2 linked regions of the Bombyx mori genome follow. The main gene of each other region encodes a partner of the protein of the gene in region 2 in a complex. Links are inferred from orthologs where the notes say so. Each region holds a gene or a part of one and is shown on either strand. Other genes may lie near its edges.

What was found. Proteins that work in one complex are often made in the same cells at the same time.
Region 1: RNA transcription, translation and transport factor protein (region 2) and archease share a complex: the UniProt entries of both Homo sapiens proteins name them as parts of the tRNA-splicing ligase complex. The link is inferred for Bombyx mori from reciprocal best matches to the Homo sapiens genes RTRAF and ZBTB8OS.

The regions. Positions count from the first base shown.
Region 1 is NC_085121.1:13,346,617-13,357,971, reverse strand, and holds archease, read right to left. Parts: upstream 6,164-11,355; 5' UTR 6,040-6,163; coding exon 5,976-6,039; intron 5,864-5,975; coding exon 5,839-5,863; intron 2,559-5,838; coding exon 2,168-2,558; 3' UTR 2,119-2,167; downstream 1-2,118. Other genes in the region: uncharacterized protein LOC101743665, read left to right, coding at 7,940-8,167, 8,849-8,938, 9,433-9,540, 10,318-10,458. UniProt on the Homo sapiens protein: Component of the tRNA-splicing ligase complex required to facilitate the enzymatic turnover of catalytic subunit RTCB. Together with DDX1, acts by facilitating the guanylylation of RTCB, a key intermediate step in tRNA ligation.
Region 2 is NC_085119.1:4,406,367-4,417,121, reverse strand, and holds RNA transcription, translation and transport factor protein, read right to left. Parts: upstream 6,780-10,755; 5' UTR 6,629-6,779; coding exon 6,559-6,628; intron 6,482-6,558; coding exon 6,257-6,481; intron 5,915-6,256; coding exon 5,831-5,914; intron 5,523-5,830; coding exon 5,224-5,522; 3' UTR 5,063-5,223; downstream 1-5,062. Other genes in the region: adenosine deaminase-like protein, read left to right, coding at 156-256, 355-546; translocase of inner mitochondrial membrane 8 homolog b, read left to right, coding at 3,203-3,298, 3,496-3,669. UniProt on the Homo sapiens protein: RNA-binding protein involved in modulation of mRNA transcription by Polymerase II. Component of the tRNA-splicing ligase complex and is required for tRNA ligation.

The DNA.
Region 1 (11,355 bases), on a different chromosome or scaffold from region 2:
ATATTTTAGGAGTCGCAATTTACAAGTTCACACCCATACGAGGCACCTAACCTATATCTAACTGCCGTGTCACTAACTCACCTCGATATTATTTACACACATTATTTTAGTACACATTGCTGAGTACTAAAATCTCTAAAACTAACATTTGTAAACAAATAGGTATAATCTAGGTACTTTCACCACAATATCCTGGACACAACCGTGTGAAGCCGTATCATCCGTTTTTTATGCGGACTAGACGGAAAAGTGTAACTAGGAAAAAACGACACAAAAAACCGTCATTTTTTATAACCTTGTAGGCAGGTGAGCATACGGCCATCCTGATGGTGAGTGGTTACCGTCGCAAATAGACGTCAGCAATGCAGGGGCAGAGCTAAGCCTTTGCCTACCGAGATCTTTTTGCAGTGATATTTCAGGCATTTCCCGAGCACTTAGGAAACTGAAACTTCTTCCTATGCTAAAGAATATGCAATATTATTTTAATAAATAATAAAATAGTGATATTATTTTTTTACTAATGAATAATATTTATTCACATTTTATGGTTCGTTTATTTATTTTTCTTAGTTCATTACGTCATACAAACACAAAAAAGATACCTAGCAAATGAACTTTTTCCAACCATAACATACATCTCTTTTTTTTTATTATCTTATGATTAACTAATAGTTATTTGCTATAATTTGAATATAACCTTTATTTGAAAACCTATTTGTTCTATTCTACATTTATTTTCATCATGATTTTGTTTCTCTACGTGAATGTCGGTGATAAAACGTAATAAGGAATTTGTAGAAATTTGTTTTGATTATGTTTCTGTACCTATGTCTCTATCCGATGATTTGCAAGCGAAGTAAATTGTTCCTTGGAAATAAGGTGACACTACAAAAGTTGCATACGCCCCATCATGACCTATACAAGTGTAGTGTTCGCTCACGCGGCCCGCACTCACTTAAAACCCCTTCAAATTAGTCAATCACGTTTTTGCAGGATAGCCGTCGGAGCCCCGTGGTTCGTCAGGAACATCGACTTGCATGACGACCTGGACCTAGAATACATGAGTTAGTATCTATAGTCGGCATCAATGCGCCACTTCGATAAAGCGGCACGACACGAGAATCCTCTCATCGCGGCCGCCGGGAACTACATAGCCGATCCTGCAGACCAAATGGTAAACAGTCTACTTCGCCCAAAACACGTGATTTCGGATCCTCCCGATCCACTAACGGTGCGTTTAGGTACCTCAAGCACCGGTCATAGTAGCCGCTCGGCGAGTAAATGAACCCACAGACACAGCTCACTGAGTTTCTCACCGGATCTTCTCAGTGGGTCGCGTTTCCGATCCGGTGGTAGATTCTGCAAAGCACGGCTCTTGCTAAGGTTCGTATTAGCAACGTCGTCAGGTTTGAGCCCCGTGAGCTCACCTACTAGCTCGGCGAATCTAGAATAACCCCTCGAGGTTACTAGAATAGGTAGGAAAAAAAGCCTATGTCATCATCATCATTAATTATCATCACCAATGAAAAGCCACCCACTGCTGGAAATAGGACTTCCTTATGTTTCGTCACAATAATCGGTACAGTGCTGCAGCTCAAGAACACGGGTTCGGTAAGTAGTTCCGCAAAATTATTACTACCTGCTCCTACCTAATACTACCTACTACTACCTGCCTGCTGAATTGGAACCGAATCGAGATAATATCAAAAGTGTATTGAAGTTCCTTGTTTCACATATTCCCTACATTTGTACTGCATTTCTTCATATCCTTCGGATCCTTGATATAAGGGTTTCTTCAAGACTATTTTTTATTGCTAAGACGTAAATGTCGCCACCCACTTTGAGACCGGAGCTCTAATGACTCAATTTTTACAGTAATATAATATGGTCGCCTTACCCCTCAAACCGAAACGCATTAACTGCTTCGCGGCAGAAATAGGCAGGATGGCGGTACCAACCCGTGCGGGCCCAGAAGATGCCCTAGCAAATTTCATCAGGGAAAATGTTAATTGCCAGCGAGATCTGACTAGCGGCAAAGTCGTATCGCTTGATACGAGTAAGTGTCTTACACCTTTACCTTACGACGATTTCAGTGCTTTGGAAAAAAAATTAAACTTTAAAAAATACAAACGTATATTTCTTGAATACAAAAAAAAAATAAAAAAAATTATATGTCAATGATAACAAACACTTCGTACTTATTGTCCTTTGGATCGTCAATGATCTGCATGGCCGAGTAAGTTATAGCTTTGACTTCTGTGCCTTGGGGATGTTTGCCAATTACGAACTCCTCGCCGTAACACCTACACACTATCTTGAACTCTTGCGTGTTAAACTCCGTTATGACTAACTTCTTGCATATCAAAAATGGTTCGTAGGAGAATAAAAACAACAGTTCGTCGAGGAAGTGGTAAAGTAATCCCATGAGATCGTCAGCGCTCGCTTCGATGGTGTGAACATCCTTGATCTGGACGTACTCAAGCTCGGTCATGTAACCGAACATCGCCATCCCGCACTGCTCGAAGGCTTCTTTAAGACTGTCGCCCCATGCGTGTAATCTAGAAATGTAATAAAAGTTATTATTATTATTATTATTTTTTTATTGCTTAGATGGACGGACGAGCTCACAGCCCACCTGGTGTTAAGCGGTTGCTGGAGCCCATAGACATCTACAACGTAAATGCGCCACCCACCTTGAGATATAAGTTCTAAGATCTCAGTATAGTTACAACGACTGCCCGAAGCCCAAGCTTCAGACCGAAACGCATTATTGCTTCACGGCAGAAATAGGCAGGACGGTGATACCTACCCGCGCGGACTCACAAGAGGTCCTACCACCGTCCGTCCCATCTAAGCAATAAAAAAAAAAATATTATTATTATTTTGGTGTACAATTAGCATTGATTTTTAAATATTTTATTTAGTTAAAGTTTTATAACAAGTTTTTTTCGAAAATCCTCAAGCAATTTCTGAATAATTTGTGAAAATAAACTCAGCACTAAAAGGATTAAATAATGAATTAGCTTAACTAGACTCGTTCTACATAACTCAGCTTAGCCTAGACCTATCCTAAAAGTGAGGTATTTTTTTTTTAAATATTAATGGAACGAAAATATTACAACACTCCTTGACTATATTATATTTAAATTATAAATCACGTGGCATTACAATATGATGTTGTAATAATAAAAAATAATTCTCATTTAATTCAGGTAATGGAATAAACTAAAGATAATATGAATTTAAACTTTTATGAAAATGTAAAAAATAATGGTGAAAAGGCTTTATTTCGTATCAAATAAATACCGAAACTCGCATAGTTCCGTTGCGACAGAAAAGACCGCATTGTCTATCGGAAGATTTGCAAGCGAAGTAAATTGTCCCTCCGTAGTAAGGTGACACTCTACAAAACTTGCATACATCCGGTCATGACCTATGCAAGTGTAGTGTTCGCTCACGCGGCCCGTACTAATTTGAAACCCCTTCAAATCATACAATCCCGTGTTTGCAGGATAGCCGCCGGAGCCCCGCGGTTCATCAGAAAGTGGGCCTCCACGATGACATAGACCTAGAGTTCGTCAGTATGTATCTAAAATAGGCAACAGTGCGCCATTTCGAAAAAGCGGCACGACACGAGAACCCTCTCATCGTGGCCGCCGGTAACTACATTCCCGATCCTGTGGACCAAATGGTAAACAGTCATCCAAAACACGTCATTTCGGATCCTCCTGATCCACTAACGGTGCTTTTAGGTACCCCAAGCACCGGTCATCGTTCTCTTCGAGCCCGTTCTTTGCGACGAAGGGCTCGGCGAGTAAATTAACCCCAGACACAGCCCACTGAGTTTCTCGCCGGGTCTTCTCAGTGAGTCGCGTTTCCGATCCAGTGGTAGGTTCTGCGAAGCACTGCTCTTGCTAGGGTTAGTGTTAGTAACGACTGCAGGTTTGAGCCCCGTGAGCTCATCTACTTGTTAGGGTTACATTGAGATGGCCTCCCAAGGCCATCAGCTTAGGCTTAAGAAAAAAAGAGCGCGTTGGGGTCACTTACTCGTAATGGCTATACAGCGTGTCCTACAATCGATATATCAACCCGAAACGCTGCCACAGTATAAATCACGTTAAGAATGTAAAAAAAGTATCGAAATCTTAATTATTAGTTTCATATAAAAACAAATTTAATAATTGTTTCAACTGTTCGATAACAGCCCTGAATTTATACAACAACAGTACTATTAGACCATTCATTCAGTTAAACGCGTCAGAAAGAGATAGACAATAACAAATACGAAAAAAATTACAAGCACATTAGGTTCATGAGGCTCAAAAACTCAAAAAACCAAAATCAAATATCAAACTTATTACGGCGAATGTTATTAAATACCACATTTATTGCAAGGACAAAAGAAGCTGCATGAAGTACCGACATAGTCGGAGACCGGCGCCGGAGGGATATTCGTGTGTGTGTGTGTGTGTGTTGTGGATTTCAATTATTTTGGAAAGTTCTACAAACTCGATTAAGTTGGTAGCACTATAGCGATGTCCTAAAATAAATCCGAAGTTGTTGGGATTTTTTCTCATCGCTAAGATGGGTGGACGAGCCAAAACAATTAAAATCTACGTAATTACTGGTGGTATGGCGTCTTGTGAGCACGAACGGGTAAGTACCACCGCCTTCGTCCGGCTCAGATCTCTCTAGGAGGTGACCTCCCCCGGGTGAACGTTTCGGGGCGACCTAAGGGGGTGAGGCCGCGCGGCGCGCTTTTTGTACTCTAGCACGCTGAACATGAAAACAGTTCTACGGAACTGCTATGTAAGAGGAACCGGTTAGTGGTGTATCGCTTTCCGAACTGGCAGGCAGATTCTGGTCCAGCGGGGTATTCCGAGACACCAGAGGCACCGCCTGGAGTGGCCAGACGGGCTGCCGTACCGAGATGGCCGACGTAGAGTCGTCGACTATCACCTCGACGACCCGTCGGTCGGGCGTCTAAAGGTGGAGCCGCAGATCTGGTTGTATTGTTGACTGCGGGAATCCCCCTAGTCTGCCCGGGTTTTGACTCCGGGTGGTGGGCGGTCGTCGGGTAAGAGACCGAGGGGTGTCGCTTGAAAGAAAAAAAATGTACCATCGCCCTGCCTATTTCTACCATACAGCATTAATGCATTTCGGTTTGAAGGATAGGAGAGCCGTTGTACTATGAAAACGAGATTTAGATCTCATGTACAAGGCAGGCAACGGCATTTACGTTCTTGGTGTCGGGCTATGGGCTTCAGTGACCACTTATATGGGACACCCTGTATATACGCCTCGTCAACAGCAATCCCTGATTTATAAATTTTCTCCCTTGTTTATTTCGCATGATTCTATCCCTACATAACATAAGTTATTTGCGAACATGTGTTGGGTCATGTTTTAAATTGGAAAAAATTATACTAGCCAGAAGAATAGATCCAAAGCGTCATCAATGATTAGTTACTGAAAGTCTCACACAGTGTAGTGTGAATGAGAATTCCCAATTTACACAAAAAAGCCACCTTGTCGTCTAATGGCAGAGACCAGTTCCTCATTCCAGATTGAAGATATACCTATATAGATGTTTTACAGATACATAGACATATAAAAAATTACACATCATTACATTTCACATTGTAATTAAATTTTAAGTACCTACATGGACTGAGGTCAAAAAATACTATTATTTTGCATTAATTTGTTTTTTTTTATATATAGATATGTAATCAATTATGTCTGAAGTTTAATTAGATTGATTCACAATACTATCTCAATACTACATCAGTAGCTTTAAATTAAAACTAAAATATAACACATGAATTAACCACTTACTGAACATCAGCAGTATGGTCCAAATCTGCAAAATTTACATTTACCTTATATTTATAAGCACCAATCATCACAGTAAAATTGCAATTCAATCACATAAATTTATAGGAAAAACTATAATTTAGATACTGTATACTCACATTCATATTTAACAGGAGGTATATCATAATATTCTTCGGAAATACCGCCTAATTCTTCATCCATTATAGTTTTTAATAATGTAACAAAATTTTACTAATATATGTGTTTACGTACAAATACTCTTACTTCACTACCTTCATTGATAATACAATTTTATCACTACATAAATTCTTCAACTCTCTCTCTGCCTTGAAGAATTATGAATCACTGTCCATAGATTATACACTTAATATATACGAGAACTGTCACTGAGCAAGATTAAGTGTCTAATCTATGGTAAGTAATTCTACGTTAAAAGACTTTATGAATCTTGGCTCAATGAATTTGGCCCCTTTTTCTTTGTTATCGGATTTTTTTTTTATTTCGTTGTCCGTCGTTTGTTCGTTAATGTTCGAATGTAAAAAATGTTTGTTCGTCTTTTATTTATATAAAATTAATTAAACAAGTGATGACCCTTAAGTGGGCCCCCCTTACTAGATATGTTAATTTTTATCGCTCAGATTAGTTAATTTGCATCAATTATTGTTTGTTCGACAATTATTGGTGATTATTCGATCATAAAAACAATTAAATTCCTAATTATTAATTATTATATATCTAATAAGCAAACCATGACCTCACGCCACCTTTTTTTGATTTTCAGATTTTTTTATTTTTAATTATTTGTTCATAATTAGTTCGTTAATGTTCGAATGTAACAATTTAAGCTCACCCCAGTAACTGTTGAGAACATTACTCTTGAAGTTGTAGACGAATATATACTTATATACCTGGGACAGGCAATCCGATTAGGTAAGTCCAACTTCGCAAGAGAGGTCAGTAGGCGGATCCAACTCGGCTGGGCAGCGTTCGGTAAATTAAAAAATGTGTTCTCGTCCAAAATCCCTCAGTGCCTGAAGATCAAGGTATACAACCAATGTGTGCTACCAGTGATGACTTACGGTTCTGAGACGTGGTGCTTCACAAGAGATCTTTTTAGGAAGCTCAGTCACAGCGAGCTATGGGGGGGCTATGCTTGGTATTTCTCTACGAGACCGAATCAGAAATGAGGAGATCCGTAGAAGAACCAAGTTGCTGACATAGCCCGTATGATTAGCACGCTGAAGTGGCAGTGGGCAGGCCACATAGCGCGAAGATCGAACGGCCGATGGGGCAGAAAGATCATGGAGACCACGTACTGGCAAGCGCAGTTTGGGACGGCCACCTACGAGATGGACCGACGACCTGGTAAGAACCGCTGGGTCACGTTGGATGCAAGTGGCAACGGACCGGCCGCACTGGAGATCACTTGGAGAGGCCTATGTTCAGCAGTGGACAATGGACAGACTGAGATGATGATGATGAAAAGACGACAATTTTTACATTCGAACATTAACGAACAAATGACGAACAATTAAAAATAAAAAAAATCTGAAAATCAAAAAAAGGTGGCGTGAGGTGATGGTTTGCTAGATATAAAATAATAAATAATTGGGAATTTAATTGTTTTTATGATCGAACAATCACCAATAGTCGTCGAACAAATGATAATTGATCAAAATTAATTAATCTGAGTGATAAAAATAAAGATATCTAGTAAAGGGGGCCCACTTAACGGTGATCATTTGTTTAATTAATTATAAATAAACAAAAGACGAACAAACAATTAAAAATAAAAATAAAATCGAAAACCAAAAAAAGGGGGCCAAATTCACTGAGGCAACTTACTTCAATGGAGATTCACAGGATGACTTTTTTTTTACAGGAAGACATAAGTTATTTTCATAGACCTACTTCAGTGGTTATTTTGAGTAATTTGACATATGGCACTAATTGACAGTTCGAAAACAATTTTTGAAAAACAATTGGTACCTACAAATACTTCGAAATTTCGATATTCATTTCTTTTCGGTAATAGATATTTTTGTAACAAATTTTAACCTACACGTTTTGTATTTTCTTTTACGTAGCAAAAACATTAACAATGGATCCTATAGCAGTTTTACAAAGTAGAATTGAACAACTAGAAGCTAAATTAGGTTTGTCTCCAGAAATATCTATAGATGGTCAGCAAGGTGACTCTGTTACTGCGAATCTTTTAAGCGCTGCACAAGCCATCAATAATGCAACGGCAGGACACGAAAAGCTTCATGAAGCTATGCAAATGGCCTCAGAGTTGAACAACTATAGTGATCCGAATTTCGTTGAAAATGTAAGTGCCGTTAATAACCATTGATAATCCTTACGTCCCATGAATTTCTTTCAATGCATAATTAATTCTGAATTAAAACCCTATATACCTTTTGTAAAATTTTACCAAGTATGTTTAACTCAAATTTAAATCCATTTTCTCTTTCCATACAACTAGTTTATAGAATTTAAATTTCATCTGATATATTCAGACTTATCATTAAAGTAGTGACTTATAGTCAGCATCTGTTGTGCAATGTGTGACAAATAAGTCACAAAGTAACATAAAGACAAGGTAACATTCTCTATCAGACCAAAAAAGAAAGTAGAAAAATAACTGGCTGGTCTTAAACAAAAAATTAAAATATTTTTTTTTTTAAATATATCTCATTGGACAAGTGAGGCAACATATGATCTTGTTCATGATATTCAAAGTTGTAAATTAATAAATATTATATAAATTTAACTCAACAAAGACTTTGACCTAATGCCTCAAAGTACACATGACTTTAACAGCATTTTCATCAAATGAAAAATAATATATAATAATTTTTTTGTTGCCTTTGAAGATTGCCTTAATTAGGCTCACTATTGATTAGTGATTACTGTCTTTGAACTGCAAGCTTATCTGTCTTGCCTATATAATTACCAAAATCTACAAAAAAATTGTATAATGTTGATCTTATCAGAATGTTGGTTACAGTTGCAGAAGAATGATTTACATAAACAAGAAGTACTTGCAGCTGAACCAGTGATCAGACATCACTGTCGCTGTATGCAGCAATGTAAACAGGTCAGTAGATGAGTTTGTTACAATTCTGTCACAATATACTTATAAACTGGTTGCTAGTGCTGTTTAAAAACAAGCTCAGACTAGCCGGTGTATTTTAATTATATTTTCTGTTGTGAAGTTCAGTAAAATTGGTATGATAATTAACCTGTATTCTCTTATGAATTTTTTTACATGGCTGTTTAGATAGTTGCATCCGAATTTATAAAATTTTCTACTGTATTGTAAGGCTTGGTTAAAAATTGAATCTAAATCAAGTTTATGATCAAATAACAGGTCAATATATATTAGGTACATACATAAATGCATGTTGGTAACATTATTACCCTAGCTGGGTATTTGAGAACAGAAGCCATGTGATGGACATTGAGTTTCTTATTTAGGTCCACCAGTGTATATAATATGTACTAGAAGAAATGACTAGCACAGTATTTTCTAGGGATATGGTTAATTTTAAAAGATTAAATACATTGGTTGTTTGAATTTCTATGAAATAGGCAACACCAGTTCTGGAGTCGGAGGCCATACAAAAAGCTGCTCAAATGCAGCCCACTGTAGACAAGATGCACGCTGCAGCTGCAGAAGTAAAGGCGGAAGCTGATGCAGTAAATACTTTTATAAAATTTTTATATCATTTTTATTGCACATTTTTGCTTTTTTACTCCTTTTTGAAGGCAGACAACCAAATGGGCTACTTAATGGTTATCAGTGGGACTGTTACTCATAGACAATAGCAGATCCATTCTCTCTCTCTTCCTACACCGTTTCCTACACTATACTTTTGTAGTGTATTATGGAGTCAAGGACGGGGTTTGTTTAGACACTTAGCTAGGGCGGATAGGCAAACTTGAGGTCTCATCACAACAGGAGGTTTGTCAAGAGCTGCCTGTGGGACCCCAAAGTGGCTTCTTGTCGATTTTGACAAGTACCGTAACCTGTGTTCTAATTGCTTCTACTAGTAACATCTAACAACGCCGAGAGTGAGTCAGCATGATTCATGAATATATACGGTTTTCGAACTCAATTGAACCTTCTTCATATGAAACACATCCACTATAACTGCTTTTAGGCATTCCAAGAACTGTTGACCGTTTTCGTCGATTCCGACGAATGCGACAAAGGGTCCGCCGTGAAAATTAACTGACAGACACAGCCCATTAAGTTTCTTGCCGGATATTCGCAGTAGTCGCGATTCTCAACTTTGCCTCGAACTTTTTATTTTATTGATAAGAATACCAAAACCGTCATAATAAATTGTATTCAGACTTATTTAAACCCGAATACCCAACCTAATTTTTACTTTTTTTAAATTCAACTGTTTCAGTTTAGTGTTTAATAAAAATATGTATGATAAAAATATAATATTGTAAATGTTTATCCAGGTATCGCATGGAATTCAGCAACTAGCCGAAACTTGCGGATCGGCCGCCAATGATTCATCTCAGCAGTTGGCTAATGTTGCTCAAATGGTGGAGAAAGTTGAAACAAAAATGTTTCCTAAACGAAGGAATGGTCTTGATTGAAAAAGCTTTAAATTTATAACAGAGATATATTTAATAAATCCGAGGTGCTAGCACCAATGCTTAAATTTTACTAATAAAAACAATGGTACTCTTATTTCGTTGTTTTTTTTACTATCTGTTCTGTTGTATCTGCAATATTATCATAGTGCACAACTTCGAAAATCTGAACACTTCGAGCTCTTTAAATGGTTACTGGAGCCCATAGACATCTACAACGTAAATGCGCCACGCACCTTGAGATATAGTTCTAAGGTCTCAGTATAGTCAAAACGGCTGCCCCACCCTTCAAACCGAAACGCATTACTGCTTCACGGCAGAAATAGGCGGGACGGTGGTACCTACCCGTGCGGACTCACAAGAGGTCCTACCACCAGTAATTACGCAAATTATAATTTTGCGGGTTTGATTTTTATTGCACGATGTTATTCCTTCACCGTGGAAGTCAATCGTGAACATTTGTTGAGTACGTATTTCATTAGAAAAATTAGTACCCGCCAGCGAGATTCGAACACCAGTGCATCGCTCGATACGAATGCACCGGACGTCTTATCCTTTAGGCCACGACGACTTTAATGCATCAGCAGAGTGCGCTGCTGTAGTTGGAACTTAGAACATTCAACGTTGTGCATTATGCCGCATAATGCGCTCTAGTGCTGCAATTGGAAAACTACCTTCAATAATATTATAATAAATTTAATACTTTATTAAGCGCCTTATTCACGATCCATCTTGCTGTACGTCCCGCCAAGGCCATGCACGATGCACGATGCATTTAGCGCTTTATTCACGATCCATCACGGCTGTACGTCAGCTCAAGGCCGCGGTGCTGGATGTATCAAGCGCGAACAGAATAAATCGAACGAATTAAATGAGAGGGTTTTAATTTATTTAAAATGC
Region 2 (10,755 bases):
TTCATACTCACTACCGCCACCACCAATATGCTCCAATGAAATCATTTCCGTTTTTAATTGGAGTTCCGTAACAATGTTTCTAACCGAACCTTAAACCGCTTCACTTATTTATTATACCATTTTACTGTTCTTAACAGAAGTCGCTAATTTTCCAGAAGTATGTCTGACAAGCAACGTGAATACAAAAATAACGCCCGATTACGAGTCGCATCATTTCAAAGAACTTATTGAAGCTGGATTGTCTGTTGTACTTTGTGTAAGAAAAATAATATTTTAATGGGATGTGTACATACCTACCTAATGTTTATGTGTTGATTTTATTTGTCTATTTATATCGTTGTTTGTTTGTTTTAGACTGATGACAAAGGAGTATTTGCGACATCTCTGTCTCAAGAATACAGGCTATGTGCTGAATCATTTGCACTTACACGGATTCAAGTAGCAAAATTATCTTTAGACGCAGCACAATGCATATTTTCAGAAGCGAATATTAGAGAGTTAATCATTGGAAAGATTTTAAAATTTATGAACGATTATACCTCATAATTCTCAATAAAGGGTTTCAATAATTGAATAAACAGATTGTCTTATATACTAACGATATACTAGCGAGTGGGTAGGCCCAATACTCAATATTCACAGCCCGTAGAAAAAATATCCATCTGCCCTGGTCACTAATCGAGTTCTTCTCCAAACACTCGTACGTTTAACAGATGTACTGACTCACGGAACACATTTTCTAAGTGCTACAGAGAACTAGATTTTTACACAGGAACACTGTAATAGTATTTTTTTTATTGCCCCTGTAGGCAGACGAGCATACGGCCCTCCTAATGTGAGTGGTTGCCGTCGCCCACCGACTTCAGTAGCAATGCCAGGGGCAGAGCAAAGCCGCTGCCTACCGCTAAGTACTGTCCATAAGCGTCGTTTGAAGAAGAACATGTCATAGCACTCAGGGAACACCGCGGAGGGGAGTTCATTCTAAAATCGTACGGTACGTGGCAAAAATGATCTCTGGAAACGTACTGTGGACGAACGCAGTGGCTCCAGGTAGTATGGATGAACTCTACTCCGGTGGCGGGCGGTGCGATGGTAAAAACGAGATCATAGAATCGTCTCAAACAATTTCTCAGAGAACTCCCCATGGAACATATGGTTCAAAATACAGAGAAAAACGTAGTCCCTCCGCAGACCCAGAGGTTCCAATATACTTTATGCGACATGCACATCCCGGACAGTCTTGTTTATTTTTCGACACTTTTTCGAATCACTCATCTCCGAGGGAACTCGTGTCTCTCACCGCTTAATCACAGCCGGAGGCAAGACTGCTCTCTTCCTGCTGCTACCACATTCCCCTGTCGCCGCCGAAGAAATAATAATGCTTTGCCGAAAACACAGCTGTACTATCCCGGTAGAAACAACTTCTTTATACCGTAGCCGGAACCCTAGGAGTTAATTTTACAAGTAGCGCTTCGAAGTTGTCACTACCAAAATACAGCTCTGCTTTTTCAAAGAGGAAGCTCGAACGCAGGAATGTCGCCTTCCATCATGACCTTCCGTCTTAGTTGTAAAGTTAATCCGTGAAGCCTCGCTCATCAAGCTTTACCCTATCATCTGCAAGTGGAGTTACTCGGAGTTCATTTGTGGTAAAGTGACCTTTTACAGAATTTGAATAAATTCAAACATCACATGTGCGACTATGGTGTTAGCTCACGTGGCACGCACCCACATAAACCCCATTAAACTTCAATGTAGGTGTCGGAACACCATGACGGAACACATACAAAATTCCTCAGAGAAATGTACATCTCGAATTTTTCCAAAATATTACAGACGTTAATTTACGACAGCGATATAATGTGATAACCCACTTACTGTGGCCGCCGCTAACTATGCCCCTTACTCTCACGCAGTAACAAGCCACCGTTGGATTCTTAGACAGACTTGTTTGATCCACTTGAACCACTTTTAATGCAGTCGGTTTTTTTTTTATTTTTTATTGCTTCGATGGGTGGACGAGCTCACAGCCCACCTGGTGTTAAGTGGTTACTGGAGCCCATAGACATCTACAACGTAAATGCGCCACCCACCTTGAGATATAAGTTCTAAGGTCTCAGTATAGTTACAACGGCTACCCCACCCTTCGAACCGAAACGCATTACTGCTTCACGGCGGAAATAGGCGGGGTGGTGGTACCTACCCGTGCAGACTCCCAAGAGGTCCTACCACCAGTGATTACGCAAATTATAATTTTGCAGGTTTAATTTTTATCACACGATGTTATTCCTTCACCGTGGAAGTCAATCGTGAACATTTGTTGAGTACGTATTTCATTAGAAAAATTGGTACCCGCCTGCGGGATTCGAACACCGGTGCATCGCTACACACGAATGCACCGGATGTCTTATCCTTTAGGCCACGACGACTACAGAACGGGTGCTACTAGTTGTAACGCTAGCAACAGCTAAACTACAGGTCACCGTATTCATCGAAGAGTTCGATATAAAATTTAGTCCATAGTATCAGCCCAGCAAGAATCTCAGCAGCTCGCGCAAAATATTAGGGCTGTACAAACATTTAAATGCACTCGAATTGGGTGTCTATGGCTAGTTTTAAATCCTGTGGCTTGTAATATATGAGTCATAGTCGACTCATATATTACAAGCCACAGGCGGCAATCTGACTTTTGGACAATGATTGGTAAATCAGAAAAACGAATTATTGACTTTGTATTCCATTGGCAGTCACAAAACTCTTCGGAACGACATCTTAGATAAATAACAGGTTAACTATTAACCTTTATTTAATGCAGGTTTTGAACCGTATTCTTTGAAGGAGACGATTATATTCAAATAAATCTGTATTGAAATATCAATAAATTTTTTTTGTCCAAATGCACAGATTGCCACCTTTGATAATAGACGACTCATATATAAGTGAAATTGAATTGATGAAAGAATGAATTATATAAAAGCATCGAATTGATAGTGCAAAAGTGGGAATATAAATTTTTTATTTCATTCCGTTTTATGAATTATACATGACTTCTACTGTAATAACAAAAATTTTGTCGATAATGGTCTGTGTTTCCTTTGCCTGTCCAATGGATGAATTAAACAAGAATAACCTCAAAACTTCTAGTTTGGTCAAGTTTGGTGGAATATTTCAGATATAAAAATACAATACTCAGCAAAAGACAAAAATGAGCGACATTGATTTTCCTAGTCCAAAAGGTGCAGATTCCGAACTTCAGGATTTCTTAATACAAGAAAAACAAAAGGCACAGTTCCAAGCACAGGTAATATAAAGAATATTGTTTTATTGCAATAGGAATCGCTGAATATCTAATAAATACCAAAAATATTTTGTTTCTTTAAATCATTTTTATATTAATAAACATGTTAAATTAATAGGCATTACTGTTAAGTTAGAGATATGTCCAAGTAGAACAAAGACGTTTCAATTAACTTTAGATGATTTTGTTGTATTTTTCAGATACACGAATTCAATAGTTTCTGTTGGGACAAGTGTATTGAAAAACCTGGAGCTAAGCTGGACTCTCGGACCGAAACATGTATCACAAACTGTGTGGAAAGATTCATTGATACCTCACTATTAATAACAAATAGATTTGCACAGATGCTAGAAAAGGGAGGCGGAATGCATTGATGTCTAAAATATCTGAAACTTTCAGTTTCAGTTCATAAAGTAATACAATGAGAACTATAAATTTATATTAGTGTAATAGTAGATTAGTAAATTACTGTTGATGATTGACTGTTTCACTGTTATTGTGTAATAATAATAATTTTGCATACTTAGACTTAGGAAATCTGAATTTGAGCATGTAATTGTTGTTTGTAATGCACAGGCCATAATACACATCCGTGCTAGTCTGACGTAATTATCTATTTCCCTCTAATGCATATTGTACTTTGATAGCTCCAATACAAAATTTATGTGGAAAGAGCCTTTTAGTTCAAGCTTGAATCTTATTGGTTCAGAACAGACATCTAATATTAGTTCAGCTTTATTACATAGGTAATTCTGCTTGATTATATGTTAGAAATATGCAACAAAGATAATTTTCCAATAATAAATATTGTTGCCTCAATGTGTATGACCTTCCATTTCCCTTAATACAATAAATTGAATTTTTTTTATAAAGATCACTGGCTGAACTCTCAGCCCATCTGGTGTTAGGTGGTTACTGGAGCCCATAGACATCTACAACGTAAATGCGCCACCCACCTTGAGATATAACCTCTAAGGTCTCAGTATAGTTACAATGGCTGCCCCGCCATTCAAACCAAAAAGCATCACTGCTTCATTGCAGAAGTAGTTAGGGTACTGAAACTTAACTGCACTGACTCACAAAATATCCTACCACCAGTCATCATCATCATGCTTTCCTATTACCCTCTGCTGGGGTGTAGGGCTCGAATCAAAATTTTCCATTTGTATTGGTCTTGGGCAGTCTGTTCTAGCTCCTCCCACCAGTAATGCAAATTATAATTTTGCAGATTTGATTTTTATTACACTATGTTATTCCTTCACTACCAAGAATATTTAATTTTGATGTTTATCAAATTTATTTTTACACATCCTTGATTATAAAACTTACGAATTATTATGTAATTAACATTCTGAACATTCTACAGAAACATAAGATAAAAAGAGTACATATTTCAATTTAAAACTTTTTCAGTTATCTTGTTATTGCTGTAACTTACTAATCTATGTAGTATTAAGCAGCTACTAGATGTTTGCTGGTCTGCTTACAACACCAACAAATAAAACTAAACCAATTTTATGGGTGGTACAGGGGAGCCTTGTGAGCCTGCACATGCCAACAACATACCAACACTACCCATAATAACTAGTATATAATAATAAGTCATTCTGGTCATTCTGGTTTGAAGTGTAGAACGACCACCAATAAGACTTAGACCACAAGCCTCAGGTTTACATTACATACATCTTAACAATAAAAAAGTGAATAAGACTAAAGTTAAATTGGTATAACCCAAATAAAAATAAAAATCTAAATGAAAAAACGAAATTTAATGCACAGTTTATTTTTAGTACTCAGCAGATCAATTATTATCATTTTAATATGGTTTTACATAACATAGTATAAAAACAATAGCTTCAGTTCTTCGCCATTGTGATTTCGTGAAGAAAATGTTAAGATAATTTTACAAAATTTTAGTGAAGAACATTTTATCTTCCTACTCGACCGAGTTTGGTATCAGTTCGAGGGTCAGCAGTAACAGTTTGGACAGCAACTAAAGCTTCATTAATTTTTGTTTGTAAATTTCTAAGATCCTGAACAAACAGTAACTTTAACACATCTGAGGGTTGATTAACTAAATTGACTTCAGTTTGTAGGGGTTCCGGATGCGGAGAAGTTTTCAGTACTTTGGCTAAGGCAGCAAGTCTTATTTTAGGATCTGGATGAGGACCAATGCTCGCTACTGTACAGACTCTGTTGACACCTGCTTTGAATGCTTGACTTGAGACTGAAAATAGATTTGGAATATTACCAAAGATCACCAAAGAAACGTGATGAGTATAGAGATCAGGGCCTCAACGGAATTTTATTAAAGAATTGAAGTTGAAGTTTGGAATATTAAAAGCATTAGAAATAAAGAAGAATCAAGATAATCTAAGCTAACATATTAATAAAATTTTAGAACCATTAGTAACAAATTCAATTCTTGTTGGCAATTATTTAAACAAGTTTAATTATTTAATTGTAATTACAAAATTAGTTTTTGATAGTTAGAAATTAAAATGTTTTTCTAAATTTTATTATGGATGTACTTACAGTCCAGATTGTCTAATGGATTAGAAGACACGACATTGGGAGCTTTCTTTTTCTCTTCAACTTTAGCATTTTTATATTTGTCAACTGTAAAATAAAATTAGACATTCTTATAAATTTTGATGATTACTGATCATAGAGCATTTTGTAAACCCACATGGGTAAACACCACCACCCTGCCTATTTATGACGCAGAGGAGAGCCTTGTGTTCTAGTCTGAAGGGTGGAATAATTGCTATGTTTTAATGGAGTCTTAGACTTCATGTCTCAAACATGCAGCATTCAAGTTATCTCTGTATGCTCCCGTAACGACTTAATATCAATTGGGCAATGAGCTTGTTTAAATGTCTAAGTATTAAAAAAGAAAAATACGGTAGCAAGTAAAGAAATAATTTGACATGAAATATTTAATTAAAATTTTCTGTTTACCATTATCCGCGTATTCCAACCGCACCGCATACGACAATAGCCAATTGAGTTGTTCATTCAGCGTCCCTTCTGCCGCTGGACTCACCAAATCTTTCTGATACGTATTGTATGCCTCCTTCCAGAAATCGGAATCAATATTTCTCAACCCTTCTCGGTCCTCAATTTTGTAATGCCTTATTTTTTGATCTTCTAACCACAGCACCACACTTCTGTACTCCTTCTCATCTAAAAATTGCAGAGACTTGTTATTTACAATCTTCACTCACGAGTTTTAACGAACGGGTCATCAAATTAAACAAAACCTTCGCAGTTAAAGAACTCTGGATTTGGATGACCTAATGCACTTAGTTTCAATTTAAATAAATTTGACATTGTTAAAAAACTGTAAGTTTTTAGATAGCAAATTGTAGTAAATTTCACAAAATTAACCAAATGCAATTCGACATGACGATAGCATAGATAGTAGACATAAGTGTATAATCTATGGTAGAGACCAATATTTGACAATTGACATTAGGAACGCGATCTGAGATCGAAATATCGAATAATTAATCTTTTCAACAAAAACCATTTGATTTGTACCAAAATGAGTAGATCTAAGACATTAGATAATTGAAATTGTATTATTTTTTTATTATAACGCAACAAAAAATAATTCACACTTAAATTAGTGTAACACTCCGATCAACTGCTTCTTTTAGATGAGCGAAATAAATGGGGTTGGCTACTGTCAAAGTGGCGCTGGTGTGCATTGTTCCCATAACATTCAATATTTGTATTGGAACTTTTGATTAAAAATTATTTTAAGCACAATGACGCGTTGTTTTGTGCCAATATCCTCAGAAATTGGAGTACATCAATTCTCGAAGGACAAGAAAATTGGAAGACTGCGGTTAAAGGCCATTTGACACGAAAAAAGTACTCCCACAAAAAATTCGAGGTTATGTCGTAAACACTTTGTGGAATCTGACTATAAAAACTCGCTGGAGTAGAGTGGTCGGCATATCAAGAGAAGATCAATTTTTAATGTTACTAATTAAGCTTAGAAGAAACACAACAGATTTTGAATTAAGTAAAACTGAAGTGTCTAATATTGTTGTAACATGGATAAATTTTGTCAGTGATATCTAGAGCCTAATTGACATTTGCCCTAGCCGCAGCTTATTAAATTATTATATGCCTAATTGTTTTAGAACACATTATCCCTCCACAAGGGTGATTATATATGGGACTGAAATAGGCATACAGAAGCCTAGTCAACCTGATGCTCAAATAGCGTCATTTAGTTGTTATAAACATAAAAATACCGTGAAATTTTTGGTAGGAGCTTCACCAGGGGGATTATTATCATATGTTTTAAACGGCTACGCTGGTTCTGCAAGTGATCGACAGATACTAGAACGAAGTAAGCTGCTCCAGATTTGTGATTCTGGAGATAGTATTATCGCAGACAGAGGTTTTAATGTACAGGATCTGTTTGCCCCTAAAGGAATTAGTATAAATATGCCATCTTTTTTAAAAGGTAAATCACAAATCCCAGGTGTTCAGTTAAAGATAGATCAAAAATTAGCTAGTCAGAGGGTTCACATAGCACACGTTTCCACGACACCTATGAGGTAGTGTACTTAGCGCGTTTTTTTAACGTGGTTTCCCCAGTAGGCTTACTCCACGGGTCAGTTGTGATCCTGTTTAATGTAAAACTATTGCATAATAACGGAAATTTTCAGATTGGGAAAGATAAAAGCGATGTAAATTAAAAAAAGTGTTGAAGTTTATTCGTCTTATTCGTAAGTTTCAAATTCTTGTTCTTCTTCTTGATCTTCTTCTTATTCTTCTTCTCCTGCTTCTTCTTCATCTTCATTTCTTCCGTTTTCACTTCAGTTTTTCCGGCGCAGGTGGAAGTAAAGTTTGAACTGGCTCTAATATATTGTTGACCAACTTCCAACCCCAGTCTGTAGGGTCTAGCTGATAACCAAGCCACACTTGAACTTGGTAATATACTCGAAAAAGATGTTGGTGAGCAGCAACTGAGGTTGGAGGAAGACAAGCTAATTGAACTTGTTTTTTATTTTTAGTATTTTTAACGAAACATGCATATCGATGCTTATCTAAACAGGTAGTTTTTTTAAGGACTTATTATATATAGCTATTATATATATCATATAAAATATAACAACTCTAGATGTATATACGTGGCGTACTCATGCATATTATGGCGATAACAACTTTTATAACTTTTTGAATCGTTATATCTCAGAAACGGTGGCTCGTAAGATAAAAAGTATTGATACATTTTTTATAGATAATTTTATGGTCTACAATTTTTGTCTGAAGTACTTTTATGATAAAACTTACCGTTTTGCTGAAAATCGCGAAAAACTTATTTTTTTGACCTTTGACCTTGAATAAAAAAAATTCCTTACAGGGGAATGATGGGGAACTTCTAGACATTGTTTATAATTATATTTTGAACAATTTCACTGAAATTCAGCTTGTTGGGACTTTATGTAACTTCACTCTCATTTTTTGGTCTAAATTGACCGGACTAAATACAGATATTTTTCATACAATGCTTCTTTGAAAATATTTTCATAAAAGATTAATTAATTTAACTATATTATTTATAAAATAATTTATTTAACATATTATTTATAAAATTATTGTCTTTTTCAACATAAATCACTTTGATGTCCTTGTAGGTGTAAATGACCAAGTTGCAGTATGTTTTGCCTGAGCAGTATAACTGCCCTTGGATTGGATAATAATATGGCAGGTTTTTTTTAGAGACAATATCCCGTTACATTGTTCTAAGTAAGGCACCGTTGTTATATTTATTTCATGTTTTCTGCTAGCATAAGGACATTTCACTTCAATTATAGTTTCTTCGCCCAACACACCATCAGGAGATGCAGCAAGATATGGGCGCTCTTGTCTAATGAAAATGCCACATGGCTCCACTAGCAAATCATATATATTAGCATATTTTGCTAGAGCAATTTTTTCATTTTGTTTCAAAATTAAAATTTTGGTCATATACCTAGCTCTAATCTGAAAAAAGTAAAATAATACATTAGTTGGTAGGTAATGTGTGTAATATGAGCAATTCTTTTTGCACGTGCTACAAGGAATAAAGTTCCTAAGGTACACAATTTAATATTATTATTACAATAGCTACCGGAAACAGTTTGAGAGAAGTTTTTTAAGTTAAAATAAAACATCAACATTGTAACTTTCGACAAAATCCACTTTTTTTCCTCGTAAAGATGCACCACGTTTTCTCAACTCATTTTTTAATTCTTTAACTATCCAGTTGGAATACATGTTGTAAAACTGTTTAGCACTACTTAGAAAGTAAAAAGAACCGTATCAAAGTCACAAAATGCCGAAATATCACGAACACAAAACACACAAAATGGCGGCTATCTGTTACAAGGGAACAAGCTACGCCGGCGACATCTGAGAAAAGCTTTAACCGGCCAACCCCATTCGTTCACCCTTAGAGTATAAGGTGAATGAAGTTAACCCCTCAAAAAAATTTTTTTTTCCTATTTTATACTTATTTTCTATTAATTCGTTTGTTCATCATTTGTTCATGATTGTTCACTGTTAATAATTGTTTGTTCTGCATTTATTTATTTAAAAAATATATTTAAAAATATACCTACAAGTTAGCCCCTCTAATGCAATTTTTAATATTTTTTCATCCTTAATGACTCGTAAATATTCATTTTCGATTGTTCTTATATAAAACACGTTTGTTCTCTTTCGAAATTACTCGTTTTTTGTTTAATTTACTATTTTTATTAGTTGAATAAATGTATGCAAAATATGTGTACTGCGCATGCGTCAACTATAATGCCTAAACTTTTTACGCGGTTTTAATCGTGAAAAAAAACAAATATAAATCCTGAAGGAGCAATTAATTGGTATACAGTTTAATTAAAAAAAAAAATAAAAAATTAAATAATGTGCATTGGCGTTAAGTTAGACCAAATACATTTTTTCCATCCTCCTACTTATCATTATGAAAGTATAAAAAAGATGTTCAGAAGGGAGTTCACACAGGTAATATAAACAAATAAGTAAATATGTTCATTATTTATCTTTCAAGAGATAATATAGGTATACAATAAAATAAGTTTTTTTACACAGTCGAAATTATATTCCTAACATTAGTAAAATAACATTTTAATACGATAGGTAAGAGGATGGAAAAAATGTATTTGGTCTAACTTAACGCCAATGCACATTATTTCATTTATTTATTTTTTAATTTTTTTAATTAAACTGTATACCAATTAATTGCTCCGTCAGGATTTATATTTGTTTTTTTTTCACGATTAAAACCGCGTAGAAAGTTTAGGCATTATAGTTGACGCATGCGCAGTACACATATTTTGCATACATTTATTCAACTAATAAAAATAGTAAATTAAACAAAAAACGAGTAATTTCGAAAGAGAACAAACGTGTTTTATATAAGAACAATCGAAAATGAA